Oryctolagus cuniculus: one gene and its partners. The protein of the gene in region 1 interacts with the protein of each later gene in a pairwise test. Links are inferred from orthologs where the notes say so. Each region holds a gene or a part of one and is shown in the gene's direction. Other genes may lie near its edges. The genes, in order: CCDC33, ABCF3, FAM124A, ARIH2, NDOR1, PPP2R3C and TTC19.

Evidence for each region.
Region 2: the proteins of CCDC33 (region 1) and ABCF3 interact in a two-hybrid assay, tested with the Homo sapiens proteins (2 studies listed by BioGRID and IntAct). The two-hybrid records come from large-scale screens. The link is inferred for Oryctolagus cuniculus from reciprocal best matches to the Homo sapiens genes CCDC33 and ABCF3.
Region 3: the proteins of CCDC33 (region 1) and FAM124A interact in a two-hybrid assay, tested with the Homo sapiens proteins (2 studies listed by BioGRID and IntAct). The two-hybrid records come from large-scale screens. The link is inferred for Oryctolagus cuniculus from reciprocal best matches to the Homo sapiens genes CCDC33 and FAM124A.
Region 4: the proteins of CCDC33 (region 1) and ARIH2 interact in a two-hybrid assay, tested with the Homo sapiens proteins (2 studies listed by BioGRID and IntAct). The two-hybrid records come from large-scale screens. The link is inferred for Oryctolagus cuniculus from reciprocal best matches to the Homo sapiens genes CCDC33 and ARIH2.
Region 5: the proteins of CCDC33 (region 1) and NDOR1 interact in a two-hybrid assay, tested with the Homo sapiens proteins (2 studies listed by BioGRID and IntAct). The two-hybrid records come from large-scale screens. The link is inferred for Oryctolagus cuniculus from reciprocal best matches to the Homo sapiens genes CCDC33 and NDOR1.
Region 6: the proteins of CCDC33 (region 1) and PPP2R3C interact in a two-hybrid assay, tested with the Homo sapiens proteins (2 studies listed by BioGRID and IntAct). The two-hybrid records come from large-scale screens. The link is inferred for Oryctolagus cuniculus from reciprocal best matches to the Homo sapiens genes CCDC33 and PPP2R3C.
Region 7: the proteins of CCDC33 (region 1) and TTC19 interact in a two-hybrid assay, tested with the Homo sapiens proteins (2 studies listed by BioGRID and IntAct). The two-hybrid records come from large-scale screens. The link is inferred for Oryctolagus cuniculus from reciprocal best matches to the Homo sapiens genes CCDC33 and TTC19.

The regions. Positions count from the first base shown.
Region 1 is NC_091443.1:109,375,177-109,379,322, reverse strand, and holds the start of CCDC33 (coiled-coil domain-containing protein 33), read left to right. Parts: upstream 1-1,346; 5' UTR 1,347-1,738; coding exon 1,739-1,759; intron 1,760-3,999; coding exon 4,000-4,146.
Region 2 is NC_091435.1:93,764,612-93,768,694, forward strand, and holds the start of ABCF3 (ATP-binding cassette sub-family F member 3), read left to right. Parts: upstream 1-1,283; 5' UTR 1,284-1,418; coding exon 1,419-1,590; intron 1,591-1,818; coding exon 1,819-1,966; intron 1,967-2,059; coding exon 2,060-2,139; intron 2,140-2,561; coding exon 2,562-2,608; intron 2,609-2,776; coding exon 2,777-2,874; intron 2,875-2,954; coding exon 2,955-3,077; intron 3,078-3,203; coding exon 3,204-3,470; intron 3,471-4,083.
Region 3 is NC_091440.1:70,650,653-70,654,067, forward strand, and holds the end of FAM124A (protein FAM124A), read left to right. Parts: coding exon 1-389; 3' UTR 390-2,915; downstream 2,916-3,415.
Region 4 is NC_091441.1:100,171,768-100,175,267, reverse strand, and holds part of ARIH2 (E3 ubiquitin-protein ligase ARIH2), read left to right. Parts: intron 1-1,269; coding exon 1,270-1,421; intron 1,422-2,363; coding exon 2,364-2,507; intron 2,508-3,449; coding exon of another isoform or gene 3,450-3,475; coding exon 3,476-3,500.
Region 5 is NC_091432.1:237,493,210-237,497,445, forward strand, and holds the start of NDOR1 (NADPH-dependent diflavin oxidoreductase 1), read left to right. Parts: upstream 1-1,436; coding exon 1,437-1,692; intron 1,693-1,802; coding exon of another isoform or gene 1,803-1,851; coding exon 1,852-1,880; intron 1,881-2,849; coding exon 2,850-2,977; intron 2,978-3,443; coding exon 3,444-3,542; intron 3,543-3,626; coding exon 3,627-3,728; intron 3,729-3,807; coding exon 3,808-4,017; intron 4,018-4,214; coding exon 4,215-4,236. Other genes in the region: TMEM203 (transmembrane protein 203), read right to left, coding at 876-1,286. UniProt on the Homo sapiens protein: NADPH-dependent reductase which is a central component of the cytosolic iron-sulfur (Fe-S) protein assembly (CIA) machinery.
Region 6 is NC_091443.1:40,416,063-40,420,302, forward strand, and holds the start of PPP2R3C (serine/threonine-protein phosphatase 2A regulatory subunit B'' subunit gamma), read left to right. Parts: upstream 1-1,440; 5' UTR 1,441-1,579; coding exon 1,580-1,637; intron 1,638-2,867; coding exon 2,868-2,995; intron 2,996-4,240. Other genes in the region: PRORP (mitochondrial ribonuclease P catalytic subunit), read right to left, coding at 1-349. UniProt on the Homo sapiens protein: May regulate MCM3AP phosphorylation through phosphatase recruitment. May act as a negative regulator of ABCB1 expression and function through the dephosphorylation of ABCB1 by TFPI2/PPP2R3C complex.
Region 7 is NC_091448.1:60,003,076-60,007,339, reverse strand, and holds the start of TTC19 (tetratricopeptide repeat protein 19, mitochondrial), read left to right. Parts: upstream 1-1,464; 5' UTR 1,465-1,497; coding exon 1,498-1,684; intron 1,685-1,769; coding exon 1,770-1,906; intron 1,907-3,152; coding exon 3,153-3,263; intron 3,264-4,264. Other genes in the region: ZSWIM7 (zinc finger SWIM domain-containing protein 7), read right to left, coding at 1,165-1,369. UniProt on the Homo sapiens protein: Required for the preservation of the structural and functional integrity of mitochondrial respiratory complex III by allowing the physiological turnover of the Rieske protein UQCRFS1.

The DNA.
Region 1 (4,146 bases):
CAGCCAGCCCCAGGCCCCCATCGCCAAGACTGGGGCCGTGGGGGCTCCCTGTCGGTGTGAACTGTGGTGAACAGGACAGTGGGCTCATACGGGGCGCCCACCACAGGTGGTGTCCTGCACGGCGGGGAGTCTGCTAGAAGGACCCTGCCCCCAAATGCTCACCTGTCCTGCAGAGCCAGGGTTGAGCCCAGTCTGCTGGATTCTACGCCATCAGCATTTGTTTTGTTTTGTTTTTTGTTTTTTGCCTACTTGGTGGTACCAGGCCGTCCTGGGCAGGACCAGCACAGAGCATGCCCTGTGCAAAATGCAGACGCTCACGCATTTAGGCCAAGAGCCACTCGCCAAGCTCACAGAGGTCACCCCTGTACAGGAACCCCGGGGAGGTCAGAGGGCAGCCCCCCAGAGGTTCCAGGATCCCACCACGGCCCTGAAATGACAGCTGGCGTCCAAGGGGCTTGGCTGGATGTCACCGGCCCACCCCAGATGCCCCGTGTCTGCACCCGCTAACAGGGGCCCACCCAGCAGAGCCTCCAGGCTGTGCCACCTTGCTGTCCTTGCCGCCAGCATCGGGGCTGCGCCGTCTCAGAGCTTGGCGGCTTTCACCTCTGGGCTTGGCCCAGCTTGCGGGGGGTGGAGCAGGGGAGGAAGGAGAGAGACACAGCCCCTTTCCCTCAAGTGAAAGCAAAAGGCAGTGAGGCTCAGTGGTCACAGGCTGGAGCCAGCAGGCCTGGACGCAGAAGCCCGGCCCTGCCACTCCCAAGTGGGTGACCCTGGCGAGTGTTTGTCCCCCGAACACGTGCGTCCTCGAGGGAGGGGGCATAGACTTGAGGATGAGCTGAGGCCGTACAGCAGGGGCGGGGAGGTGACCGGAGGCGCTCAGGTCCAGGCGCGGGGCTCCTGGCAGAAGGCAGAGGCGTTCCTGGTCAGGGGGCCCTGAGGGAGGGGACTGCGTGGGCAGCGGGCGGGCGAGGGGGCAGCACTCACTGCCTACAGGGTGTGAACTCCCACACAGGGGGGAGGGGCTGGGGAGAGGGCTCAGCAGACTCTGTGCTGGTTGCCGCGGCCAGGGCTGGTGGCAGCAAAGCTGTGAGCGCGTGCCAAGGGTGAGACTGTCGGTGCCAAGTGCAGCGCCTGCCCCCGCGTGGTCTCACGGGGCCCTCACGGCAGCCTCGAATCCCTGCTGCACAGGACCATGGCCGAAGCTGTGAGACCACTCAGATTTGCCCGCGCTGCTGAGCCAGCACCCGTAGCTTCCGGCTTCTGAGCCCACCCCCTGCACCTGCGGAGGGGCATGTGTGACTTGGCCCTGGCCTGTGACATCACACAGCGTTGCCCAGGTGACCTGGCCGGGTCTCTTCCAGGTCTGGGCAGAGAGAGGGCCTCCCCTTTCATCACCTTCCTGAGGGCGCCTGGAGTCGAGTGCCCGGCTGGGGACCCTTGCCCAGCTGGCCATGGCCCACATCCCCCAAGTCGCCCCCACCTCCACCCCCTCTCGCTCCTGAGAAAGCTCTGGACCCCTGCCCCCAACCTGCGCCCCACCCCTGCCCCGTGCTCAGATCCAGGACTGGTATCTGGCACCCCTGTGAGCGCAGGGACGCCCAGCACCACTTGCCACCCCCAAAGACACCAAGGCTGCAGGGCCAGCTGTCCAGGCAGGACGGACGCCTGGTCACTCACAGCACCAGGGACCCTTCCCCAGGGTTGTTGACCAAAGCTGGATGCCCCTGCCCCCGAGGCGATGGGACTGAAGAAGAAAAAGGTAAGGTGGGGGTGCACGGTGTGTGCACAGCACACTGCCCCTCGCATGCAGCCCCTCGTTCTGACGACTCCCGAGCCTGCGCACCAACGTCCCTTCTCACAGCCTCAGCTTTCGCATCTGTGAAATGGGGCCCCAGAGGGTCTCTGTGGTGCCTCCAGGGTGGGTGTCCTAGCACCATGGGCCAGTGGATACCTGGCTACCACTGCCCACACTGCTGGTTGCTGGGGTCACACGGGCTCAGAGAGCCCCCTGAGATGGGGCCTCCCCCGGGTCCCTCCCTGGCAGGGCTGGCTGCCAGGCTCCAGGCTCCTGCCCCAGGCTCCTAGCTCCTGCCCTGGGCCCTTGGAGAGAAGGAGCTGTGCTGTGCTCACTGCTGTGTCCCCAGCGCCTTGCACACAGCAGGTGCTTAATGAACCCTGTGGCCGAGCGCAGGTCTAACATCCAGAATCTCGGGTGGGACCAAGTCCTCCGCGTTGCCGAGCCTGGGACAGCAGCGTCATGTCCGCGTGGCAGCAGGCGGGGCTGAGGGCTCTGAGCACCTAGGGACACCCCCTCTGCACTTGGGCTCTCCCGGGGGGGCCAGAGCCCCCTGTGGCACCTACATTCACAACCCTGGATTCCGACGCCTCTGGTTCCGGGCTGCCGTGCCCAGAGCAGGCCCCCCCAGGCACCCTAAGCTGTCGGCTGGGGCCCCCTCCCCACCAAGCTGGGTTCAGGGATGCAGAGCGTGGCCTCGAGTGTGATTCGTGGTTCCGGGGAACACATTTGACAGCGGCCGGAACTCCCTAGGAGCTTCCTAATGTGTAGCGAGGGTTACATCTTCCTGCCTTTTTTTAAAGATTTATTTTGTTTATTTGAGAGGCAGAGGCAGAGAGAGAGCTCTTCCATGTACTCATTCCCCCGAAGGACTACAACACGGGCTGGGCCAGGTCAGAGTCAGGAGCCGGGAACTGGACCTGTGTCTCCCACGCGTGTGGCGGGGACCCAACTGCCTGGGTCAGCACCTGCCACCTTCTCACTAGCAAGGAGCTGGGTTGGAGCCAGAGCAGCCGGGACGCGGTCGAAGGTGGCGGCCTTCCCCGCGCTGCGCCGGGCTCCAGCTGCACCCTGCCGCTCCCCGGCCGGTCCTGACCCACACCTTTTAATGGTGATGTTCGCGGAGCTCAGGACCCCCTGAGGACTGGGGACATTGGTCTTTTTGTAGACAGGGCGCCTATTTGCCCCCACGTGTCTTTTCTCTGCATTGTGGTGAATTGCAGCCATTCTAGAAATTTCTGGGGAATTTCAAATGTAATCCCACCCCTCAGACTGCCCTTGATGGTCTCCTGCTTTGAGTCCCTTTAAAAAAAAAGAATTTATTTATTTGAAATGCAAAGTTACAGAGAGAGAGAGAGAGAGAGATTCCGTCTACTGGATCACCCCCCAATGCCCACATCAGAACTGGGCTGACCTGAAGCCAGGAGCCAGGAGCTTCCTCTGCGTCTCCCACGTGGGTGCAGGGGCCTGGGCACCCCGGGCCGTCTTCTTTTACTTTCCTGGGCACGTTAACAGGGAGTTGGATCGGAAGTGGAGCAGCCGGGACTCAAACCTGCACCCCTGTGGGATGCTGGCGTGGCAGGCAGCAGCTTACCCCGCTATGCCACAGTGCTGGCCACACAGGCCACTGCTCTGGCTGCCGCCAGCCCTCCCGAAGATCACAGCTCCGAGGCCTCCATGAGGCGGACCCCAGGATGGGCCCCAACTGCAAACAGGTGTTCCAGGTCCCGCTCCGCTGCGGCGGGCCCTGCTGTATGCTTGGGGGCGGGGATTTTGTCTCTCTGAGTGCCCCACCCCCAGCTATAAAGGGGCTTTACCTGGGCATCAAAGCTCCCGGCAAGAGGCAGGCACCTGGTTAAAACGCCACTTGGGAACGCCCACATCCCATCTGGCTCCACTTCTGATTCCGGCTTTTTGCGTGTCTGCTGTGTGCGATCCAGCATGGGGGTGGCCGACGTTTGTAAACTGTGAAGTGCTGTGCACAGGAGGGACCTGGCGGGACGGGTGGGCAGAGCTGAGCGCATGGGAGAGACTGACCGGCCGCTTGATGTGGCGCGTGGTGTGGGACCGGGGAGAGAACGGGGATCGGAGGTGACAGCCGTGCCGCCCCAGAGCAGGTGGAGGAAGAGCGAGGGAACTGGCAGCTTATAGGGGACAGAGGGACAGAGCGGAGGGGGGGCCACTCAATGCTGCTGTCCCCGCAGGTTGCCGAGGGCCCAAAGGAGCCCCTGGACGTCGCCCTGAGCACGGAGCCCACCGCCAGCCACCTGGCTCCCCTCAATAAGGAGGTGGTCGCAGTCACCATCCACGGGGCCACCCACCTGCCTGCCTGCGGGGACGGCTCCGAGCCC
Region 2 (4,083 bases), on another chromosome or scaffold:
GATTCTGGAGGGGGTGGGGGACACCACTGGGGACTCCCCCTGCTTCTCAGGAAACTTCCTGGATACTGTCACCATTCCACAGAGCTATGTGGTGAGCAAGTCTCTGAAGGAACTGCCCATATCCTGCCAGTGTATTAGGGAAGATAAGAGTTGATTTTGCCTTCACAATTTCCCTTCCGGCTTTCTTAAACAAAATTTGAGAACATTTCAAAAGTAGGGTAACACAGTGCACCCTCATATACCATCATCCAATTTCAACAATGATTAACTCACGGCCAATTCCTAGTATCACATCCGATCTGTGCTCATTTAATCCAGATATCCTGTCAAAATTTCCACAACATCCATCTGGATCCAAACAGGGTCCACTGTGGTTGGTTAACCCATCTGAAACGTTTTACACTCCTACCTTTGCCTCCACTCTTGCAGTTTTTAAAGAAACGAGTTCTGTAGTTTCCCCATCAGAATTTGCCTGTTGGGTCTCCTGCCAATATATCCCCCTTTACCTTTATTTCCTATAAAATGGTTATTTGATCTAGAGGCTCAGTTAACACAGGGTTTGGGCAGTGGTTAATCCAAACGGGTAATTATGTAATGTTGGGTCATAGTTTTAAAGCCAGGTCTCAATATTGACATTAAATACAACGCAGTAGCCTCATTTTGGGGGAAAATCCCTCGCTTTTTACCTGAGGGAATCCTTGAAAGTAAACAGCCTTTCCCTGTAATTTAACTGAGGCTTGGGTGCAGAGAACTCAGCCCTGGGATGGGACGCAGCTAGGGACTAAGTACCAGTGAGCTTATCCGGGCTGTGATCTGGTTTTCCGCCCTTCGGCGGTGGGGGAAGTTGCGCCCTGGGGCGGTGAAGAACTGAATGGGCAAGGTTCGCAAGGGTCGGCTGAACCCTGAGGCCGTGGGAAAGGACTGGGGGTGCTGGCCAGCCGGCTGACGCAAACTCCAGGGCCTGAGGCCCCGGACCACACCGGCGGACGCACGGAACGGAGCCGGGGGCTTCTGAGTTCAGAAAGCAGCGTGAGTCAGCAACGCTCACAAAACGGGTCCGTCCAGGCACGCAGTGGCAGATGCGCCCCGCGGGAGCACATAAAACCGAGCAAAGCTACATCCTTATCAGCCGCCCTTCTCGGGAGGCGCCCACCAGCCGGAGCTCCGGCGAAGCCTCGAGCCCTGATAACCCCCGCGCGCGCCTGTCCCGCCCCACCCCTCGCCTCCGGCTCTGCGCCTCCCAGAAGGCAGCGAGAACGGCACATGTGGCTCATCCCTCAGCCGAACAAGCGTCGCGCAGGCGCTGAGGGCAGCTCCGGCGCAGACTCTGAGCTGCGCTTGCGCACGGTTCGTCCGGGCCAGCTCAACCCACCCGTGGGTTCCGCGCACGCCGCTTCTGTCGTACGTCGCTGCTACGCATGCGCTTTGGGAATAGGGGCGAGCTTTCGGGGACGGGTAGGGGGCGGGTCTACGCCGAGGTCTCAAGGCGATTGCGCGTACGGGATTCCTGCTGGAACATGGCGACTTGCGCCGAGATCTTGCGGAGCGAGTTCCCGGAAATTGACGGACAGGTCTTCGACTACGTGACGGGTGAGCTGAACCGAATCAAGGGGCTGGGGAGGCCCAAGTGGAGCTCAGGGGGAAAGACTATGGGAGGGCAGTGCTGGGGACCGCTGCCAGGCCTCTTCTCCGCGTGACCTCTTGTCCCGAAGGCCGGTTGGGTCTGGAGCCCCGACTGGGGGCCGCGATTCAGGGACTGAAACTGCTTGTGTGTCCACCTTGCCCGGTGTCCTGCTCGTCCTGCCACGCCCGGCCCAGGCGTCCTGCACAGCGGCAGCGCGGATTTCGAGTCTGTGGATGACCTGGTGGAAGCTGTGGGGGAACTGTTGCAGGAGGTGTCCGGGGACAGCAAGGATGACGCGGGCATCAGGGCCGTGTGCCAGCGCATGTACAACACTCTGCGCCTGTACGTGTCGGGATCGGGGCGGCGGGGACTGCGGGGGCCGTGGGGCCTTTCCCTCAGTTCCTAACTCCGCACTTTCCATCCCTACCCACCTAGCGCCGAGCCACAGAGTCAAGGAAACAGCCAGGTGCGACTGGATACCCCCATCCAGTTGTCAAAGATAACGGAGAACTACGGTGAGCGTGAGGGGAAGTTGAACTTGTTGCTCCAGCCACCTGCCCCCTGCAGCTCGAGCTGCCAGACTTGTCTCTCACGAACTTGGTTGTACTGAGGCCAGCATGAAGGGAAAGGGCGTGGAGGGGTCTCCGCGCCTGGGTAGGGTAAGGAAGTCTGTGGCCTGGAGCAGCCTAACTTGATTTCACCTCCCAGCTTTGCAACTTACTAACTGCTTGACCTTATCAGAAGAGTTGCTTGTGTGCCTACACCAGTGGGGTTTATTGTCTTGGGGGTGGGGAGGATGGTAGCCCCCATCCCCAGGATGGTAAGGCTTTTGTGTTTGTGTCCCTGGTTCATGTTAATCACTCCGAACCTTAGTCTCCCTTCTTTCTGGGAGATGGGTGACTGCTTTTTTTTTTTTTTTTTTTTGTATTGGTTACAGACTGTGACCCCAAACTTCCAGGACTGCTGAAGAGGGAGCAGTCCTCGGTGAGGAGGCGGGGGGAGGAGGGGCGGTGTCTGAGGTGGAGGTGGGGGTCGGCTGTCCTTGCCTGAGTCCTTGAGTCTGTTTGTCGCGGCTGAGCTGAAGTGCTCCTTCTGGGGGTCCCTGTTCTGAGCCTGCACCCTAGGGTGAAGTGGTTTTCTTTGGAACTTTAGACGGTAAACGCGAAGAAGCTGGAGAAGGCGGAGGCACGGCTGAAGGCGAAGCAGGAGAAGCGCTCAGAGAAGGATGCCCTCAAGACCTGCGGCCCTCCGTGAGTGCGGGGAGCAGAGCCAGCGCCACGGGGCGAGCGGTGGCTGGAGGCGCTGAACGTCCTGTTCTCTCCCTTCTAAGAGTCCTGGAAGAGGCGTCGGCCAGCCAGGCGGGCAGCAGGAAGGAGAGCCGGCTGGAGTCCTCCGGCAAGAACAAGTCCTACGACGTGCGGATCGAGAACTTCGACGTGTCTTTTGGTGATAGGTGAGGGGGATGGTAGTGAGGGTGGCATTCGTCTCCTTTTCCAATTACAGGAGACTTTGCAGAGGTGAAACGGAGCTACACACAGCGCCCCGAAACCAGCTGGTCTCCTTTCTACCACCCCTGCAGGGTACTGCTGGCTGGAGCCGACGTGAACCTGGCGTGGGGCCGCCGCTATGGGCTGGTGGGGCGGAATGGTCTGGGGAAGACAACCCTGCTGAAGATGCTGGCCACCCGGAGCCTGCGGGTTCCAGCCCACATTTCCCTGCTGCACGTAGAGCAGGAGGTTGCGGGAGACGACACCCCTGCCCTGCAGAGCGTGCTGGAGAGTGACAGCGTGCGGGAGGACCTGCTGCGGCGCGAGCAGGAGCTCAGCAGCCAGATCGCAGCTGGCAGGTGAGAGCCCCGGCAGTCACCTGGCCACGCAGAGCTCGGGACTTGCCACTTGCCACCACCGGATGGGACGCTGGTGTTTGTTCTTTTTTTTTTTTTTTCTTTAAAGATTGATTCATTTTTTTTGAGAAGCAGAGTTAGAGAGCAAGGAGGGCAGAGACAGATTTTCCAGCTGCTGGTTCATTCCCCGAATAGCCATAACAGGCAGGGCCAGGCCAGGCCAAATGCAGGAGCCTGGAACTCCATCTAGGTCTCCCATGTGGTGGTAGGGGCCCAAGCACTTGGGCCATCTTCTGCTGCTTTCTCAGGCACATTAGCAGGGAGCTGGATCAGAAGTGGAGCAGCTAGAACCGGAATCGGCACTCATATGGGAGGCTGGTGTCACAGACAACAGCTTAACCCATTGTACCACAGTGCTGCCTTCTCCCCTTCCCTCCCAATGCTCTGTTCTTCCCCAAATGCTCTTGCCCCTGCTACTTTGTGCAGGTTCTTCCTGTCTTCTGTTCCTGTCCCGGCGACAAGGTGGCTAGTTGCCCGCCTTGCAGCTGTGCAGGGTGCAGGGGGACATCCTGCTGGGCTGCCTACACTCAGGCCGATTGTTTCTTCCCCTCCCTTG
Region 3 (3,415 bases), on another chromosome or scaffold:
TGCGGCTGTCCTCCTCGGACCTGTCTGTGGTCTCCGCATACTCTGCACCCAGCAGGTTCTGCAACACGGCAGAGGCATCCCTCCCCTCCGAAAGACGCAGCAGCCACCGGCCAGGGCACAAGGGGTCCAGAGAAGCACCACTGCCCGCTGTCAGTGAGGCCCCCGCGGGCGCCTCCCAGGCCTCCCTCTCTTTCTTCATCCAAGGGTCCTCCAGCTCCTCAGGGACAGATGGCACTGCTGCCCCGGCTTCCAGCACCTCCTTGCTCCCTAAGTCACCCCCAGAGCTCTCTTGTGACGCTCCTCGCATCACCCAGACCAGCAGAGCCATGCCACCACCCGCCGTGTTGCCTGGCCCCGGGGATGATGACATGGAAGAATTCTACATCTGACCGCCTCCGCCTTTGTCGTTCAGACGCACGGATGCAGACGCGCAGGCTCAGGCCTCCCTGTCCCTCTGGTCTCGGAACGCACCAGCGTTCTCTGCCCTGCTCCCCAGGTCTGTCTGGGATTTCATTGTCTGCTGCCTGGGGACCGTGAGCACATTTGCCAGTCTCTCCATTCTTAACTGAGAGATGGTGTATTTTAGGGACTCGCCGTAAAATACTGACATTTTATGCAAATAAAATAAGCCGTAAAATATATATTTTTGAATGCTCAATTTGAGGCATGGCTTAGTGCACTTATACCACTTAAATGTTTCATTAGAATTATTTGAGATGAAAAGAAGATCCAGTCAGCCAGAGCTGATTTAGCACATTTTCCTGCTGAGAAGGAAAACAATTAAAGCCAAAATGTCGAATGTGGGAAGGATACTAAGTGACTTGCACGAGCCAGCCGTGCACAGTAACAGAATGTGCACCTTCCGGGATTCTTTGTGTATATGTGCAGTAGCCCGAGGAATTTTCAAGTCTTGCTTAGAATGGGGAGAGTCAGCTCGATAAGACAGCTGTGGACAGATGCCTGCCTTTGAGGCCATGCGGCTTCTGAAAATCTGAATTTACACTAAAGTGGCTTAGAGATTTTCTAAGGGTTTGGCACAAGTAACAGACTCATCATGCATTGAAAATTTGATTTGAGTTCCAAAAATTAGATTTGCATCTATTTTCCAATAACATTCACTGTAATGAATGAGAGCCCCAGACCACCTCTCCACGCTCTTGAGTTTATTTAGATCACTGAGTAAGACTCTCCTTGGAGTTAGAGAATCATAGAATATTAGACATACTGGGTAGGTAATCGCAAGAATTTTCAGTTTTCAAAAGCACAGTCTAAGGACAATAGGAGCTACATTTTCTACTGCTTTTTCCAGTCAGCATGCCTGGCCACAGGTCCTACATTTTTTATTTTTAAGTGACTGGTGACATTTTAGCTGGCATTTTGATTGCACAGATTAGCAACTGCCCTCTCCCCAAAACCAGGAACCTACCTACCACACTGTTCTGACCAAATACTTCCAAAAAATGCTTGTGGGCTTGGGGACGGCTGCAGCTGGAGCCCAGCCTCGGCTCTCCCTGCCTGTGGCTGGCTCTGTCGCAGCATGAGTGGCACTCAAATCTCACCCCCAGGAAGGGCATGTTTACAACTGCAGCCTCAGCAATGCCAAGTGTGACATCAGGGGCAATGCCAAGTTGTCTCCCAGATGCGTAAACATTTATCTTTGGGGAAGGAGAACATGGATGTGTGTTGTTCATGTCCCAGGCTGGTGCTCTTTGTCACAATGACTCATGGCACAGAGTTCAGCACTCCCAAAATGCCCACACCAGCCCAGCCGGCCTCCGAAATCTTTCCGACACAGTCATTCACGCAGCCCTTACTGATCTCAGACTCCCACTCAGGTCTACACCGTCCTTGCAATGAGAGCCTTAGATCCTGCCTCAAACGGCCTGGACATTGTAGGACTTCAAACTGTAATATTCTACTCCAATGTAAATAAATGAAAATATGGTCTCTTCTAATTCATTTTCTGAAAAGGGCTACGTAATAAATAGGGTAGGCAGTCATATCATAACTACTGCCGCTGTGGCAGGAAAGCTGCTGTGGATAAAATGAAAATGAACGGGAGTGGCAGAGTTCCAATAAGACTTTGGTGGGCCAGACAAGGTCCAAGGGTGAAGGTCAACCAGCCCTTGAACTAGACTGCCTGGGGCTGATTCGAGACTTAAGAACTGAGACTCTGAAGTGTGTACCTTGGCTGACTGTGGTTGTGATGCCAAGAAATCAGGCTGCTCCCGTCAAGCCAATGACTACAGAACTACAGGCCCAGAACACCAAAGGGCTTCTTTCTACAGAACCAGTTCCTACACCAGCAGTGCCCTCCTGCCTGGAAACGTGACTCAGGGTCAGCCGCTGGCAAGGGAAGGCAGCGGTGACATCAGGGAGGAGGAAAAAAGTCACTCAGGCAATGGCACAGCCCCCAGGGAACAGGGGCACAAGCCCAATAGCTACAAAAGCCAACGAGGCAAAACATGAGTGGCCCAGCTGGCAAGGGATGGCCCTGTCTTCGTCCTTAACCCATGCCCTTCTTTTATTCTTCTCGCATGTCCTCCAGGATTGCCTCAGAGCCCAGCGTCTTCTCAGCGCCACCCTCATCACAGTCTGGTCCAAACTGAGTGACCCCCAAGGGTCATCTGAAAGCAGGAAAGGCAGATGCCCCATAACACAAGGGGGGAAGGGGCGGGAAGACCGCATTCAGGCGCCCCAGTGCCTATGTTGGGGAAATGGGAGTCACTCTGTGGAGAAGGAGCCATAGGGTGGGTTCCAGAGGCCTCGGCTTCCCTCCTGGCTACACAACCAGCACTTCCTTATCCTGGAGGGCTCCTGACACCCACTAGGGAATCCTGACCCTCTTGGATATTGTTCTTGTGAAAGATGCTGGCCTCTTACAGGTGCTCAATAAATTTTTCCATAAAAAAAAAGAGTTGTCTCATTTATTATTTCTTTGCTAACCTAGGCTCTGTGAGGTAGGCAGTCTCAGTTTTAACCCTAGCTTGATAGAACGTAAAAGATCACAACCGCTTAATAGAACACAGTTTCTTGTCTCCTCTGCCCCAGCAATGCCTGGGGGGCTGTATCAGCAAGTGCCCTGATCAAGTACACATCCAAATCAGATCCCCCATATTACTGCTCGTGATCCTACACTGGCCAATACTGACCACCACCAAGTGTGTGCTGCAAGCATCAGATGTTTCTCAGTCCACTCCCACTGACCCGGCAAGCCCTACAGAAATGAGCTTGCATTGCCTCCGTTGCTTAACACGAGCATGAGAGGGACCCTTGGGGCAAGGGTTGAGCCTTTTGGGACACACATGATAGGAAGAACTGGACTGTGGTGCTGCTCGATTCCAGGGCCTGAGGGCAGGGGGCAGTCACAAGAGGGTGTGTCAGGCTGCACTGACTGCAGGTGGGACCAGGTGTT
Region 4 (3,500 bases), on another chromosome or scaffold:
GCTTTGCTGTGTAATTAATTATACTGCTTATAGGAGCAACCCTAGCCAATGCGGTATTTGAAACAGTAGCAAGCACAAGTTGCCAGGGAGAGGGCAGTATTGCCGCTGTTAGATGAAGGCTCCCAGGAGAAGTTGAACAGCCTTTGGGTCTCTGGGTTTGGCTTTAGCTTCCCTACAGCTTGACAAGAGCCTAAGCAGAGTTTACCTACCACTGTCAGGGGCTCTGCAGACAGGACATCATCTACATTATTGGACATACAAATGAACTGTGGTTGACCCTGCTCCGTTAGGCTGTAGTAATTCCTGGGATGTACGGCATCCATAAGGGTATCTTAAATTTTTCCTTTTTGCTTCCTTAGTTTGGAAGCAGAGTCATGCACCTCCCCACCTGCCCTTCCTCTCCCCTTTTCTCTCCCTCCCTCCCTTGCCCGTCTCTGTGCCTTTTAATAAATAAATAAATAAATCTTCTTTAAAAAAAAAAAATGAAGGGAGGTGCTGGCATTGAGGTGCCGTGGGTTAAGTCACCACTTGCAGTGCTGGCATCCCATATGGCTGTGGATTCAAGTCCCACTTGCTCCACTTCCAATCGAGCTCCCTGCTCATGTGCCTGGGAAAGCAGCAGAAGGTGGCCCAAATACTTGGACTCCTTCTACCCACATAGGAGACCCAGATGGAGTTTTGGTCTCCTGGCTTCAGGCTAGTCAAGCCCCTGCCATTTGGAACGTGAACCAACTAATGGAAGATATTCTCTCTCTCTCTCTCCCATCTGCCCCCCGCCCCCCACTTCCTCCTATAACACTGCCTTTTAAATAAATAAATCTTAAAAAAAAAAAAAAAAAAAAAAAGAAGAGGACCAGCTTCACATACAAACATCTTCCTAGGTCAAGTGTTAGGAAGATGAGAGATAGGATATACAGATGGTGTGTGTTGTAGCCAACCAGGTGGGCTTCAGTTGGACAAATTTCTGCTTCTTATAGTGGTACTGACACAGCAGGCCCGTGGTCCTTGTATAGTCTGCACCTACCTATGTTGAAATTAATAGACACAGAGCGCATGTGCTCATGGAATGGTGAATATCCATAAGCTGTCATATCAGCAAGGACAGGCCTCAGGGATAATGCGAGGTAATGTTCCCTCTGGAAAGAGGCAGCCAGGATGTTCTAGTCAGGTGATACCTCCGGGTCTGTCCATCCCACTGCTTTGCCAGTGCCTTGGAGGGATGTGGGTTTGTCTTACGGCTATAAGTGACTCTCCCTTTGTTCTGTGCAGACTTCTGCTGGATGTGTCTAGGAGACTGGAAGACTCATGGCAGTGAATACTATGAGTGCAGTCGGTACAAGGAGAATCCTGACATTGTCAACCAAAGCCAGCAAGCCCAGGCCAGGGAGGCCCTCAAGAAGTACTTGTTCTACTTTGAGAGGGTAGGCGTCTTTTCCTGTGCCCATCCCACCAGGGTGGGCTTCTGTGGTTAGCCTACCTGGGTGGGCTGACTGGGCTGACTGGTAGCCAGAGCCAGCCTGTGCATAGAGAACGCAGTGAATGAAGCTCCTGCCAGTAGCCCTGGTGCTACCTCTACACCTGTGCCTTTTAGGCTCTACTGGGTAGCCACAGCTGGAGAGGGACAGGGAACTGACCTCAGTTAACGATGGATGAAAGGATAATGAAGACTCATTAGACAGTTTTCATTCCAGTGCTTTTAAAAAAAATTATTTATTTATATTTAAAATAGAGAAAGAGAGATCTTCCAACTGCTGATTTACACCCCAGATGCCTACAACGACTAGGGCTGAGCCAGGCCAAAGCTAGGAGCTTTATCCTAGGTCTCCCCTGTGGGTGAAGGGGCACGAGCACTTGGGCCATCTTCCACTGCTTTCCCAGGCCACAGCAGGGAGCTGAAATGGAAGTGGAGCAGCCAGGGCATGAACTGGTGCCCATAGAATGGCAGCCTAACCCACTGCGCCGCAACACTGGCCCTCCAGTGCCTTCTTAGTGGTCAGAATTAGGGAATGGTTTCCCCCAGGGAGACCCTTCAGAAGTCAGAGTATGACAGTTGGTCCCTAAGCACAGTAGACTAGTGGGGGCCCCCGCTTTGCTTGGCTGTCAGGGCCAGAGTCCCGTTTCCCCAGCGGGATGGAGTACTTGGGCAGGCAGAGAGCTGTTCTGAGGGTTTACTGAAACTGTTCTCGTGGGTGCACTGAAAGCAAGCCCTTCCTGCACTGTGGAGGCCACACACACTCCCCGTAAGTTCAAGGAGTCTGTCGTCATGCCCTGCCAGCCAAAGGTGTGTCCTGAGTGTGTGGACCTGTGGACTTGTGGACCTCCTGGGATTCCTGCAGCTTTCTCCTTCTCTCTGTGCCCTCTAGTGGGAAAACCACAACAAAAGCTTGCAGCTAGAGGCGCAGACATACCAGCGGATTCATGAAAAGATTCAAGAGAGGGTTATGAATAACCTGGGGACGTGGATCGACTGGCAGTATCTACAGAACGCTGCCAAGCTCTTGGCCAAGGTATCTACCACCTCACTCTTGGATCCCCTCTCCAGTGCCTGGCCCCCATCAGGGCACACCTCTGAGGGTGGGAGGTCTTGTGGGGAGTGGGAGTCGTTAGCACCCTGCACAGCCTAATGTGCTTCTGCTGACAGACCCACATTTCCTTGTGCTGGGCCCTTGAGGGACTCAGTCCTTTGATGGAAGTCAGAGGCTTTTTTTTTTTTTTTTTTTTTGACAGGCAGAGTGGACAGTGAGAGAGAGAGACAGAGAGGAAGGTCTTCCTTTGCCGTTGGTTCACCCTCCAATGGCCGCCACGGCTGGCGTGCTGCAGCCGGCGCACTGCGCTGATCCGATGGCAGGAGCCAGGAGCTTTTCCTGGTCTCCCATGGGGTGCAGGGCCCAAGCACTTGGGCCATCCTCCACTGCACTCGCTGGCCACAGCAGAGAGCTGGCCTGGAAGAGGGGCAACCAGGACAGAATCCGGCGCCCCGACCGGGACTAGAACCCGGTGTGCCAGCGCCGCAAGGCGGAGGATTAGCCTAGTGAGCCGCGGCGCCGGCCCCAGAGGCTTTCTAAGAATAGTGTTCTGCTGCCTCTGCCTGCAGGGAAAACTAGAATCCCCTTCCTCTCCCTTTGTCCCATCTCTGCGTCGTGCAAAGGAAAATGAAAAGATAGTCTTCGGACAAATATTGAGATAGATATGTGGACTCTGATGTCCAACCCAAGAAGGAGAAGTCACTGAGGCAGTGCTGGTAATAAATCACAGTTTGAAAAAGGAAAGGTGGGTGTCCTGTGATCAGTTCTGTTCTGCTTTCCCCATGTCTTGCCCCAGTCCATCTTCTCCTTGGCTTGGCTCTGATTCTTTGAAGCCCAGACCTGTAGAGCCAGGTTAATCTGCATGGTGGGGCAAGAGTTTTCAGAGCCACCTGAGGTAGAGGTAGGTTAGAATCACAGACACAGGTCCCTTCTCTTCTCTCCTGCTGCAGTGTCGGTACACTCTGCAATACACCT
Region 5 (4,236 bases), on another chromosome or scaffold:
AGGCCAGCACCCGTCCTCGGAGGACGGCCAGGCCCCGTCGGCCGAGGTGCCGGGTGCTGCCCTGCCACTCGGGCCGCGGCCACCGTCACACACCCTTCATCCCGAACCCTTCTAAACGTGGAAGCCTCCCCAGCTCACGAGTGGCGGGAAACCAGGGTTCAGGGCAGCTTTGCCCCCGGCCCTGCAGAGCCACACATGGCAGGTGCCCTCACCTGGGCGCCCCCGCTCGCCTCCCCTCCAGGTCCACCCCAAGCCCCGCCGTGAGACCCACGCAGGGGCCCGTCTTCAGGACGCACAGAAAACCCGCGCCTTTCCGGAAAGATTCTCTTTTATTTTTATCGCAGATGTTCCCACTTGGCACCCAACTGGCGTCAGACCAAAGACCGCGGCCGACAGAGCCGGCCACCCCGCTTCCCACCTGCAGGTCTCAATCCTCAGGGCACCGGGCACCTGTTCCTCTCGGCCAACCCCATGGCAGAGCGATGCTCCCAGCTGACAGCGGACGCGGTCTGACGTCCTTCAGGCCCTGCGTGGTGGCCGGGATGGAGAAAGGACATCAGGCAGGAGATCCACCATCTCACACAGCCTGGACAGCACGGTGCGACTGGAGCTCTTGGGTCAGCACAGCCGGGCCAGGAAGTCCCTGAGTCCAGCGGGGCAGCTGCTGTGCAGGCCCCGAGCTAACGGGAGAAGCAATGTCAGCCACGACTTCTGGGCAGCAAAGTGGCCGCTCGGCTGGGCAGGAGCAGGCGCTGTCTCTGGTGCAGCGGGCGGAGGTGGGGCCCCGGCTGGCCCACGCCCCGGGCTCGGGGTCCCGCACCCCCGGCGCGGGGCTGGCCGCCCCACAGGCCCGGGCACGCACCCCCGCCGCGGGGCTAGTTGACCCGACAGGCGCGGATCATGAGCAGCTGCAGCAGGATGAAGACGGGCGACGCGATGAGGCCGAACCACAGCTCCCGGGTCTGCTCCACCAGCTTCTGGCACAGCAGCATCTCAAAGACGAACTTGAGGCTTAGCACCGTGAGCACCCAGAAGAGGCGCAGCACGGCCAGCCGCTTCTCCCCGTCCTGGAAGAGGCGCACGGACACGATGGTGGTGAAGTAGGCGCTCAGCCCGTCGGCGGCGAACAGCGGCACGAACACGTTCCACCAGGACAGGCCGGGCGCCAGGCCGTCGGCGCGCAGCGCCAGCAGCACGGAGAACACCAGCAGGGCCAGCAGGTGCACGAAGCTCTCGAAGGGCGCGAAGCCCAGCCACTGCACCAGCTCCCGCAGCGAGAAGAGCATGGCGCCGGCCGCGCGCGGCCCGGGGCCTCGCCCGCCGCCCCCGCAACCGCCGCGAGCGCGAGGCAGCGAGCGGCCGCGCCGCCGCCGCCGCCGGCCGCCGCCCGGAACCCCGCACCGGCCGCCCGCCGACGCCCGCGGCGCTCGGACGCCATGCCCCGCCGGGCGCGGCCCAAGTGCGTCACTTCCGGTGGGCGGCGGAAAGCGGAAGTCGCCTCGCGGCGGGCGCCGGCGGTGCACCTGGTGGCGGGGACCGCCCCCCGGGGGAGCCGCGATGCCGAGCCCGCAGCTGCTGGTGCTGTTCGGCAGCCAGACGGGCACGGCCCAGGATGTGGCGGAGAGGCTGGGCCGCGAGGCCCGGCGCCGGAGGCTCGGCTGCCGCGTGCAGGCGCTGGACTCCTACGCGGTGGTGAGCGCTCCGGGGGCGCGGGGAGGGGGCCGGGCCGCGGGGGTGCTCGCAGGGGGCGCCCTCGGTGCGGTGTCCCCGCACGAGGTCTTACCTGCGTGTCTTCTCTTGAGGTGAACCTGATCAACGAGCGCCTGGTGGTATTTGTTTGTGCAACTGCAGGCCAGGGAGACCCCCCGGACAACATGAAGGTAAGGCTGGCCCGGGGGCTCCGCCCCGCACTTGGAGAGACACCGGCGGTAGTCAGTGGCTCTCCGCCGGTGCTGTCGGAGAAGCCTCGCCCTCCGTGTTCACCGCTCGCGGACAGGCTGGTCTGGTCTCCTGTGGCTCCCGGGGAAGGGCCTTTAGGTCTCGGTGCAGCCTGGGCACGGGCTGGGGCCGGGGCTCCCGGGAGCAGAAGCAGCGAGCGTGCTGGGCGGTCCAGTCGGCGCCGGAAGTGCCCGCGGCTGGGGAAGGTGCCAGATGCTAGGGGGGCCAGCCGCGGGGTGCGAGCAGAGCCTCTGGTCCTGCAGCGAGCGGGGCGCCAGGCCCGGGAGGAGGGTGCTTGGCGCTGCAGGGAGGGGCGGCAGGAAGCCAGGCCCAGTGCAGAGTGGCCGGGCAGCGGCGGTCAGGCAGGTGGGCCGGAAGCCGTGGGGCGACAGCTGTCAGGTCCAGGCCTTCTGCTCACCCACAGAAGGGGCGGTGGGCACGCAGGGGCTGAGGCGCCCTTGCAGGGCGGTGGTGGGAGGAGCAGAGGGGCAGCGCGGAGGGCCGCTCTGGTCACGGACAAGGAAGGTCGGGGTTCAGGTTTGGGGCTCCTGGGGTGGCCCTGTGAGGGCGGGGGCGGGGGGAGGGGTCCCAGCAGCACAGCCCAGAACCGCTGCTGCGACGGGGAGACGAGGGGAGGGGGCGCGGGAGGCAGCGAGCTCGCCCCCCACCTCGTGAGTGCCTGCTCCGGGCGGCCTCGGGGCCACCTGCCTTCCCTGGACGGGTTCTCGGCACGGTGGCAGAGCAGTCGTGTTGCTCCAGGTGTCCATGTTCGTCTGCCTGCAAGCCAGGCCTGGGCCGGGCTGAACCCGGGAGGCCAGACCTGCAGCTGGGTCTCCGCGTGGGCGTGGGCGTGGGCGTGGGCGGCGGCCAAGCGCGGAGCCGTCAGCACCGCCTGCGGGGCGCGCGGGAAGCCCGGCTCTCACAGCTCCCTGCGGCTTCAGAACTTCTGGAGGTTCCTGTTCCGGAAGCGCCTGCCGCCCACCTCCCTCTGCCAGATGGACTTCGCCGTCCTGGGCCTTGGGGACTCCTCCTACGCCAAGTGAGTCCGAGGCGGGTGGGCGCTGGGCGGGAGGGGCGAGAGCTGCGTCCCGTCCACGCACGCTCTCCGTGGGGCCGGCGCCCCTCCACACGGCTCCGCCGGGGCGGGGGGCTGCCTCCGGTTTTCCTCGGCCTGCCGTAAACAAGCAGCAGTGTCGCTCGGCAGACGTGGAAGACCGCCCGGCGGTCCCAGAAGGGCGGGGTGGCCGTGCCCGCAGGTCAGGCACCCCCGAGTCCCTTCAGTGGGAGGCACAGGCAGTGAGGACCTGGGACCGCTCCACGTGGTGTTGGTGACCGGGGGGGCACTCCCCACAGAGGAAACCGCGCCCGGGAAGACAGGTGGCCCCCGCAAGTCCCGGCTCCCACCTGCGGGCACCCGGATGAGGGCCGTCGGGAACGAGGCTACTTCCCAGCCCCGGAGCTTCCTCGGCTCTGCCAAGCCTGGGCCGGCCGCGCTGTCTCTGCAGGTTCAACTTCGTGGCCAAGAAGCTGTACCGCCGGCTGCTGCAGCTGGGTGGCAGCGCGTTGCTGCCCGCCTGCCTGGGCGATGACCAGCACGAGCTGGGGTGAGAGCAGGGGGCGGTGCCGTGGCGCGGCCAGCAGGGCCCCGCCACGGGCAGGACGCCCTCAGCTCGTGCCCATCCCCCCAGGCCTGATGCCGCCATCGACCCCTGGCTGCAGAGCCTGTGGGAGAAGGTACTGGAGCTGTACCCTGTGCCCGCCGGCCTCGCCGTGATCCCCCCGGGAGTCCCGTGAGTGTGGGCCTCCCCGAGGGGTGGGCGAGGGCCCCGGAAGGCAGCCCAGGCTCTGACGGCCACGCCCTCCCCACAGCCTGCCCTCCAAGTTCACCTTGCAGTTCCTTCAGGAGGGCTCCAGCGTGGGCTCGGAGGAGCCCCGCGAGGCTGGTGCTGACCCTCAGGGGCCGCCCACAGAGCTGCGGCCCTTCCTGGCGCCCATGGTCACCAACCAGAGGGTCACCGGCCCCTCACACTTCCAGGACGTCCGCCTGATAGAGTTTGACATCACGGGCTCTGGCATCAGGTAAGGGGCCTGACACAGCCTCGTCCCCAGACAGGCAGGGCAGCGGGGTGTGGAGGCGTCCCCGGGAGCTTGGGGCTCGGGGTGGGGCAGTGGGCGCAGGGTTCTCGAGCCCCCGCTGGAGCTGGGAGTTGGCAGCTCTGCTGGGGAGGCCTGAACGTGGCCTCCCTCCGCAAGCCCCTCCCCTAACCCCCACCCAGCTTTGCCGCCGGTGACGTGGTG
Region 6 (4,240 bases), about 69 Mb from region 1:
GAATAGTGCCCTTCACGGGAGGCATGGCCCGATCCTTGTTCGGAGGATTCCTCTGTGATCGCTTCTCAGCTGCTCCAGCTGCGAAAAGATGGGAAGACTCCAAAGGCACTTGCTTTTTATTGCCCTCATTTGCTTTCCAGAGATGTCTGCCCCTGGCAATCAGCGGGTTCATTGCTTTGGTGTTTTGTGGAGACATTGCTTTAAGAGAAAACCATCTATGGTCGTTCCTGATGCCAACGCAGTTTGTGAGAAAGAGGGAGATGTAAGAATGCCTTGGACGTAGCCCAGCGTATGGGTTGCTCTCCCAAAGTTTAGGAAAACTTCGAATGCCAGACATACAGAACGCCATCGTGCAACGGAATCAGCACCCGATGGGACGAGAGATGTTCATAACCCCCTACTTCCACAGCAAAATGAAGAAATGGAGGAGGTCGAGAGTGATGCGCCAACTTTTTAAAAGGAGATTTTCTGTTTCTTCTTTACACACAGATACGGGTCTGCTTTGGGGGCTATGTAGTAGCAACGAAGGCAGGTGAGCCCTCTCTATTAAGCGGCGACTTGGGGATATCCAACACTGGTCGTAAACCCTAATCCGGGGGTCGGGGCGGGGAGCTCCTGGTGCCTGTTAAAATCCAGCCCGTGAATCCGAGGGAAAAGCACAGGAGGTTCACAACTGTAAAAAAGGGCAGGATCCCATGGGAGCCTTGCGGGAAAGGAAGCATAAAGTTAAAACCGGGAATAGAAGCCCCCAACCCCACCAACAATAACGAGGGCGGCCAAAGCCACGGGCTCCCGCGCGGCATAGCAAATCTCCCGGGGCCGCAAACGCGTCAGATGAGGGAAAGAGGGGGAAGGGGACAGCCGAGCCTACAAGCGAGGTCCAGGAAAGGCGCCAATTTAACCGTGTACCTGTCAGCAGCCAATGAAGTTCACTTCATTGCACAACTCACCACAGCACTCACGCCTCAGCGGCCCACAAACGTGAAGCAAACTGCAGGGTCCACAATGCACCGCGCCAGCCACGGCCCGCGAGGCGTGCCCGAGCCGGACGCCCGCGTTTCCGCTCCGCTTAACCGCGAGAAAAAAAGATTTGGAAGCTTATAGTAGCAAAAGAGGGAGAAGACGGCTACTGAGGCGTCAAGCTTACTTAAAACAAAATTCAGGGCCTCAAGCTCAATTAAAATAAAATGCCAAAGTACTTCCCTCTAGCCGGAAACGGCAAAGGACTCTTGAGTCACGTGGGGCACACGCGCCAAAGGCCCACGATAAGGAAACAAAATCGTGGGCTCCCTTACCTTGGCCTTTAAAATCGAACTTGGTGAAACGTGGACGCTTCTTAAGCAGGATTATTTTCCATCTCTTTCATGTCTGCTTTTCCCAGTTAGAGATACGGCCCTATCCACCGCGACAGCTACAGGAGTTCCTGCCCCTTTAGCCAAGACTTCCGCCCATGTCAAAGATGGCGATTGGTAGGCCTTCCCAGCCTCTACGTAGCTTGAGGGCGTCTGACGTCAGCACTGATGGGGGGAGGAGCGGTTAATATACAGCAAATGCAGGCGCTGCTTCGCGGGAGTCAGCCATGGACTGGAAAGAAGTCCTTCGTCGGCGGTTAGCGACGCCCAACACCGGTCTAAACCGTGAGTTGGGGCAGGACCGCCCGCTGGGCTGGCGGGGGCGCGGGGTGGGGGGCGCCTAGACTCTGCGGCGGGCCGGGGTTGGGAGGCGTGCGGTGAGTTGGGAGGAGGAGCAAGTGCGAGCCGCACTTCGCGCTTCTGTAGCATCCCCGGACCCAGGAGGCGGAGTGGTGGTATGTGTTTCTGTGACCCGCAGAGGTTTCTCCCAAACTTCGCTAGGAAGGGCCTTCGGGAGCGAAGACCTTAGCCTGAGCACTTACTTACATGGTTGTGATCTGGACTGGCGGGCGGTGACTGAGAACCCTGGCTCCACCGGCTCTTCGACCCCACCGCGATCATTCATTGAGCCTGTAGCCTTTCTGTCACAGTCACTTCCTTCCTTTTCGTTTTAGCTGTAATAATCCGTTTTTCTTTGTCCCTTTCCCTTCCTTTACACTTGCTTGTTAACCAAGCTCGTGAAATCTTTCTTCTTCCACATTCGTTCTCCGGGCAGCTGAAAGTGGCTGGAGAAAAATCGAACCAGGATGAGTCGTCTCACTGTTGACCCAGATCCGCTAACCTAGAGCAGGTGTTTCGGGCACGTCTGCTGTGTTTCCTAGGGCATCCACTGTAATAACACCGAGTTCTTGTCACCTCCCAAACCTCCGTCCATCCTTTTCCCTTACTGTCGGCTTTCCCAGTCCATAGCAAAGAGCCGGATTGGAAGTGGAGCAGCTGGGACTTGAACCAGTGCCCATATGGGATGTTGGTGCTGCAGGCAGCAGCTTTACCTGCTATGCCACAGCACGGGTCCCCATGTTCAGTTTATAAGCACAATTATGAAGCCTTGTTGGCATTGCAGCTATGTTTTTCTAAAGATTGAGAGGGAGAGATAAAGGTCTTCCTTCCACTGGTTCACTCCCCAAATGGCCACAAGAACCAAAGTTGTGCCGATTCGAAGCCAGGAGCCGGGAGCTTCTTGACAGTCTCCCACGCAGGTGCAGGGGCCCAAGCACTTGGGCCATCTTCTGCCACTTTACCAGGCCATAGCAGAGAGTGGAATCAGAAGAAGAGCAGCCGGGACTAGAACCGGTGCCCATATGATATGCTGCACTGCAGGCAGCAGCTTTACCCGCTGTGACACAGTGCTGGCCCACATTGCAACTATTTTAAATGACCTGTAGTAGATAATGGACCTGATAAATAATATTCCTTTAAAAGTACTTTTCTCCCCTTCATTTGTTTTGTTACCAGGAAAAAAAAGTGAACAAGAATTAAAAGATGAAGAAATGGATTTGTTTACGAAATACTACTCCGAATGGAAAGGAGCTGGGAAAAACACAAATGAATTCTATAAGATCATTCCTCGGTTTTATTACAGGGTAAGTGATAGCTAAGCAGATGTTTTTCAGAATTTATAAATTAAATGTAATTTAAAATTTAAAATAATGTGGCCGGCGCCGCGGCTCACTAGGCTAATCCTCCGCCTAGCGGCGCCGGCACACCGGGTTCTAGTCCCGGTCGGGGCGCCGGATTCTGTCCCGGTTGTCCCTCTTCCAAGCCAGCCCTCTGCTGTGGCCAGGGAGTGCAGTGGGGGATGGCCCAGGTGCTTGGGCCCTGCACCGAAAGGGAGACCAGGAAAAGCACCTGGCTCCTGGCTCCTGCCATCGGATCAGCGCGGTGCGCCGGCCGCAGCGCGCCGGCCGCGGCGGCCATTGGAGGGCGAACCAACGGCAAAGGAAGACCTTTCTCTCTGTCTCTCTCTCTCACTGTCCACTCTGCCTGTCAAAAATAAATAAATAAATAAATAAATAAATAAATAAAATTTAAAATAATGTAATAAAATTTAAAATAAAATGTAATTAAAAATGGGATCAGAATTTTATATTTTAAAAGTAGTACTGTATTTGAAATATTGTATGTTATTTTATTCTTCTTGATCTTACACCTCTTATCAATTTGAATCCAGTGAAATCCTGAATTTTGATATAAATTGGTATAAGAACACAAAGTTATTCCTTGTACTTTTTTCTAAATCCTGGGATTTTTCTTAATTTTTATTGTGGAGGAGTGTAGTGTTATATTGTGTTATGTTGAGGTATGCAACACATTGTTATGAAGTGTAAAGGTTTTGCTTAAAATCTTTTGAAAGTAGACTGAAAATGGAAAACTCAGAGCTTCATAAGTTTCCTTATGTCAAAAGTGTAAAGAAGTCTTTGAGATTATAGACAAAACAGGAACACTAAGAAAGCTACCTGAAAGTGAAGTGCACTGAAAAGCATAAGACCTATTATTATATAGAATGTAGCCACTATAGAAAAGTCTCTTGAATCTAATTTTTTTATGATATTATTTGTTTATTTATTTAAAGGATGGAGTCACAAAGAGATGTTCCATTCTCTGGTTTACTCCCCAAATGCCCACAACAGCCAGAGCCAGGCCAGGCCAAAATCATTAGCCACGAATTCTCTCTGTGTCTCCCACATAAATGACAAGAATCCAAGCACTTGAGCCATTACCTGCTGCCTCTTAGGGTGTTAGCAAGAAGCTGGATTGGAAGTGGGGAGTGGGACTTCATTCCAGGCACTCCCATATGGGATATGAGCTCCTAAGTGGTGGCCTAACTG
Region 7 (4,264 bases), on another chromosome or scaffold:
ATTGGGGAGTGAACCAGCATATGGAAGACCTCTCACTCGCTCGCTCTCTGTGTAACTCTTTCAAATAAATAAATAAATCTTAAAAAAAAAAAAAAGAGGCTGATACTGAATTAGGGCTAAGTCTGGGAACATTGGAAAGCACACATAAGCCAGGACAGTTACAACTCCAGGGGACACTAAGAAGTTACACAAGAAAGGAGAAGTCCATCCTACTTTCCCACATTGCTCATCTGTGACTAGCTTGGACATCATCACACACAAAATGTAAACTTGGAAACCCGCACTAAAAACAGCTACCACGGAAGAATGTGGCTTAGCCCGGGGTTGCACAAAGATCCTGAAGTGCGCAGAAGAGTCCTGCCGAAAATAAACTCGCATCAAAGGCAGCGGCTGCGTGTCTGAGTCACGGCTGTGTCACTCGTACCTACCTATCGGGCCCCCACGGCGGTCAGCGCACGGATTACTCCCTCGTGACAAGGCAAGGCTCGTGAAGCCAAAGCATTCCAAACGCCCCAGGCCACCAAATCTTAGAGTCACTGCTAGGCGCTCACAACCGTGTTTTCCCCCCACCCACCCAGAGGTCTGTACCCAGCTGGCGTCATCTTTGAAGCGTGTTACTTTGGACTGCAAAGACCAAAAGTTGCCTTACTTCCCTCAGTCCTTTAAGAAGACACAGTAACTCAAACCCCTCCCCAAGTGCACAGCTTCTGTGAACAAAAGCCCGCGTGTGTAGGTGACCGATTGGCATCATCTTAGAAGACGCGGGGACGCCGGTGAGCGGGTGCAGAGCGCCCTCTGCTGGCCAGACAAGGAAAGGCGCTGCACAGCATCGCGGACGCCAGCAGCTGCCTGCGCGTTCCGTCCACCGTGGCCCGAAAAATACTTTATTTTTTGAACCCATGATTGATTAAACTCGCCATCAGAACTTGACAGCAAAGGCAAACGTGGTCAACTTAGGAACTCAAGATACTCATCTTTCCATAACGCGTCCTTAAGCTTCTGTCCGTCCCAGCCCCCGGCCCAGGGACCCCCCGGCCCCGGGACCCCCCCGGCCCAGGGACCCCCCGGCCCAGGGACCCCCCGGCCCCGTCGCCCGCCTCCCAGCCCCGCACTGTGTCCCGCCCGCGGCCCGCGAAGCCGCCACACACGCCCTCCGGCCCGTACTTCGCGCGCTCTCCCGCACGGCCGCGGCCATCTCGCTCAGGAGCTCCTCCACGACGCCAGGCAACGCGACAGCCATGGCCTGGAGGGTTTGCGCCTCCCTCGGACCAGCGCCCACGACAAAATTCCCGCCACCGAGGAGGGGCGAGAGCTGGGGAATGAGGGGGAAGCGCCCGGCGAAGTGACGTCGGCGTGCGTCACCGCGCATGCGGACAGCCCCGAGGACGCCCTCACGCCCGTCACGTCACGGCCCGGCCAATCCGGCGAGGGTTCGGCGCAGGGGGCGGGGCGTCCGGGGCCGCCGGGCCTGCAGTGCGCAGAGGACGCGGCGGGAGCATGTACCGGCTCCTCAGCCGGACGCTGGGCCGAGGCCTCCTGCGGGCCGCGGGGCGGCGGTGCCGCGCCGGCTTCCCTCGCCTGCTCCCGGGGCCCGCAGGAGGCGCGGGGCCCGGCGTTCCGGCGGCGCCCTCCCGAGCCGCGCCGCCGCACGGCGGGGGCCCGGGCCTGCTGCCGCTGCTGGCAGGTGAGGGGCGCGGGCCGGGCGGGGCCGGCCGGGCGGGGACAGGGGCGCGGGCCGGGCCCGCTGACCTCAGAGCCCCTTCCCGCAGCGCTGTCCTGGTTCTCGAGGTCCTCCGAGCCGGAGGAGCAGGAGCAGCAGCAGCGGGGAGCGGACGGCGCGGCCGCCGCCGAGGACGCGGCGGACGAGGCCGAGGCCGAGATCATCCGGCTGCTGAAGCGGGCCAAGGTGAGGCCGGGCCGGGCCGGGAGCGCGGGCGAGCGGGGTGCACCTTGCGCTCTGCGCGAGGGCGGAGGGAGGCCCGGGGATCGGACGGGGCTGGGCGCGGGTGGTGGGGGGGTGGGAATCCGTCCAGGTGCGGACAGCGGAGGATGGCGTCCCCCACCGGGCGTGTCTCCGTCCACGCACGCCGTCCACAGTGTTCGGGAGCTCCGGTTATACTGTAGCGCCCTGTAGACGGGCCGGGTAGGATCCGAAGTCTGATCCTCTTCTTTCTGTACATTCCTCCTTTTCCTCCGTGCCCTCTGCTCCCCCGACACACACCCCGGTTATCTGTTCTCTTTCTTGGGCTGGATTCCAGCTCAGTGCCAACACCGTGCACTCTGTGTGTTACCCACCTGCTGTCTCCTCCAGGCTGAACTCTGGACCCCAGGTGCCACCCCGACACCTGCTTCCACCGCCCTTACTACCTTCAGTATCTCAGCTTAGAAACCTCAGTGTACCTTGTGTGTTGCCTCCCAGTACACTCAACAGTGCAGCCCCCAAATCCAAAATGAAATTGTTCTGCCATCTGCCCTCCTCGCTCTCGCCCTGGTTGTCACCAACCCTGGCTCCCGCCATCCAGTCTCCAGTAGACAGAAAGATTTCTTAGCATATTTACGTCAATTGGGTGTTACCTTCCTGCCTGAAAACCTGAGTGGCATCCCACTGCGTTCATGAGAAAGTCCAGTCACCTCGCAGTGGCCCCTAAGACCCTATGTGAGCCAAGCCTCCCACCTTGCCCACCCGTGGGGCAGTAGCCCTCTGTCTCCCTTCCCCAGAACCATCCTCTCCAGCCCAGAGGGGCCGTGCTGTGCTGCTCTCTCGTTTCTCCGTGGGTCCTTCTTCCCCCCAGTTCTTTGTTTGGTTGACTCATCCATCTTAGCTCAGTTAGCTGTCGCTTCCTTAGAAAGCGTCCCTGACTCCCATTAGAGGAGAACCCCCCCCCCATCACTCCTTTCCCTCTCATCTGTTGCCCAAAACGTTGTCGTGTGGCCACCCTAGCCACGCAGGAGGCCCACCTGCCCGTCCCCTCCGCAGACGCAACGCGTGGTGCCTGTAGGAATTCAGTACGTACCTGGTGAACAGACAGACGGCTCGCTTCTGCGTATTGGGAAACGCTGCGTGTCCGCCTCTGTCTGGTAGCTCCGGCGTCTGCTCTCTTTGGATTTCGCTGTTATTTTATGTATTTATTTATTTTATCTCCTGTCTGCAGCTGAGTATCATGAAGGATGAGCCAGAAGAGGCCGAGAAGATGCTGCACGATGCTCTTCGCCTCGCCTATCAGAGCGATAACAAGAAGGCCATCACTTACACTTACGACCTGGTAACTTTGTGTCCAGTCCCAGCTGCTGATGTGCAAAGTGGATGAAAGGGAAGGGTTGTTCTGGGTTTATGTTGCTGACCTGCAAGATGTCCTAAAGCTCATTTATTTTTTTCAACTAAGTTTTTCATGTGGTTTGTTTTAAAAAGATGCTATATTGTTACTTATAAGATATCTCAATTCCAGACCAAAAAAGAAACAGATATCATTATCATTTGTTTCTTCCGTCCTGGATGGACTTAGATTTGGTTATCAGCAAAATATATGCAACAAAGTACTCACTTTAAAAAAAATAAAAAGGAGGGCCGGTGCCGCGGCTCACTAGGCTAATCCTCTGCCTTGCGGCGCCGGCACACCGGGTTCTAGTCCTGGTCGGGGTGCCGAATTCTGTCCCGGTTGCCCCTCTTCCAGGCCAGCTCCCTGCTGTGGCCAGGGAGTGCAGTGGAGGATGGCCGAAGTACTTGGGCCCTGCACCCCATGGGAGACCAGGAGAAGTACCTGGCTCCTGCCATCGGATCAGCACGGTGCACCGGCCGCGGCGGCCATTGGAGGGTGAACCAACGGCAAAGGAAGACCTTTCTCTTTGTCTCTCTATCTCACTGTCCACTCTGCCTGTTAAAAAAAAAAAAAAAAAAAAAAAAAAAAAGGATTTATGTATTTGAAAGGCAAAGTGAAGAGGGAGGGACAGAGATCTTCCATCTGCTGGTTCACTCCCAAATGGCTGAAGCCAGAAGCCCGGAACTCCTATCCGGGTCTCCCACATGGTGGCAGCAGCCCAAGGGCTTGGCCCATCTTCCACCGCTTTCCCAGGCACATTAGCAGGCAGCTGGATTGGAAGCGGAGCAGCCAGGACTCTTAACTGGCACTCTGGTACGGGAGGCTGGCTTCACAAGTTGGTGGCTTAACCTGCTGCCCCACAACGTCCACCCCAGAATTCACTTTTTTTTTTTTTTTAAGATTTATTTATTTTACTTGAAACTCACACTTACACAGAGAAACAGAGG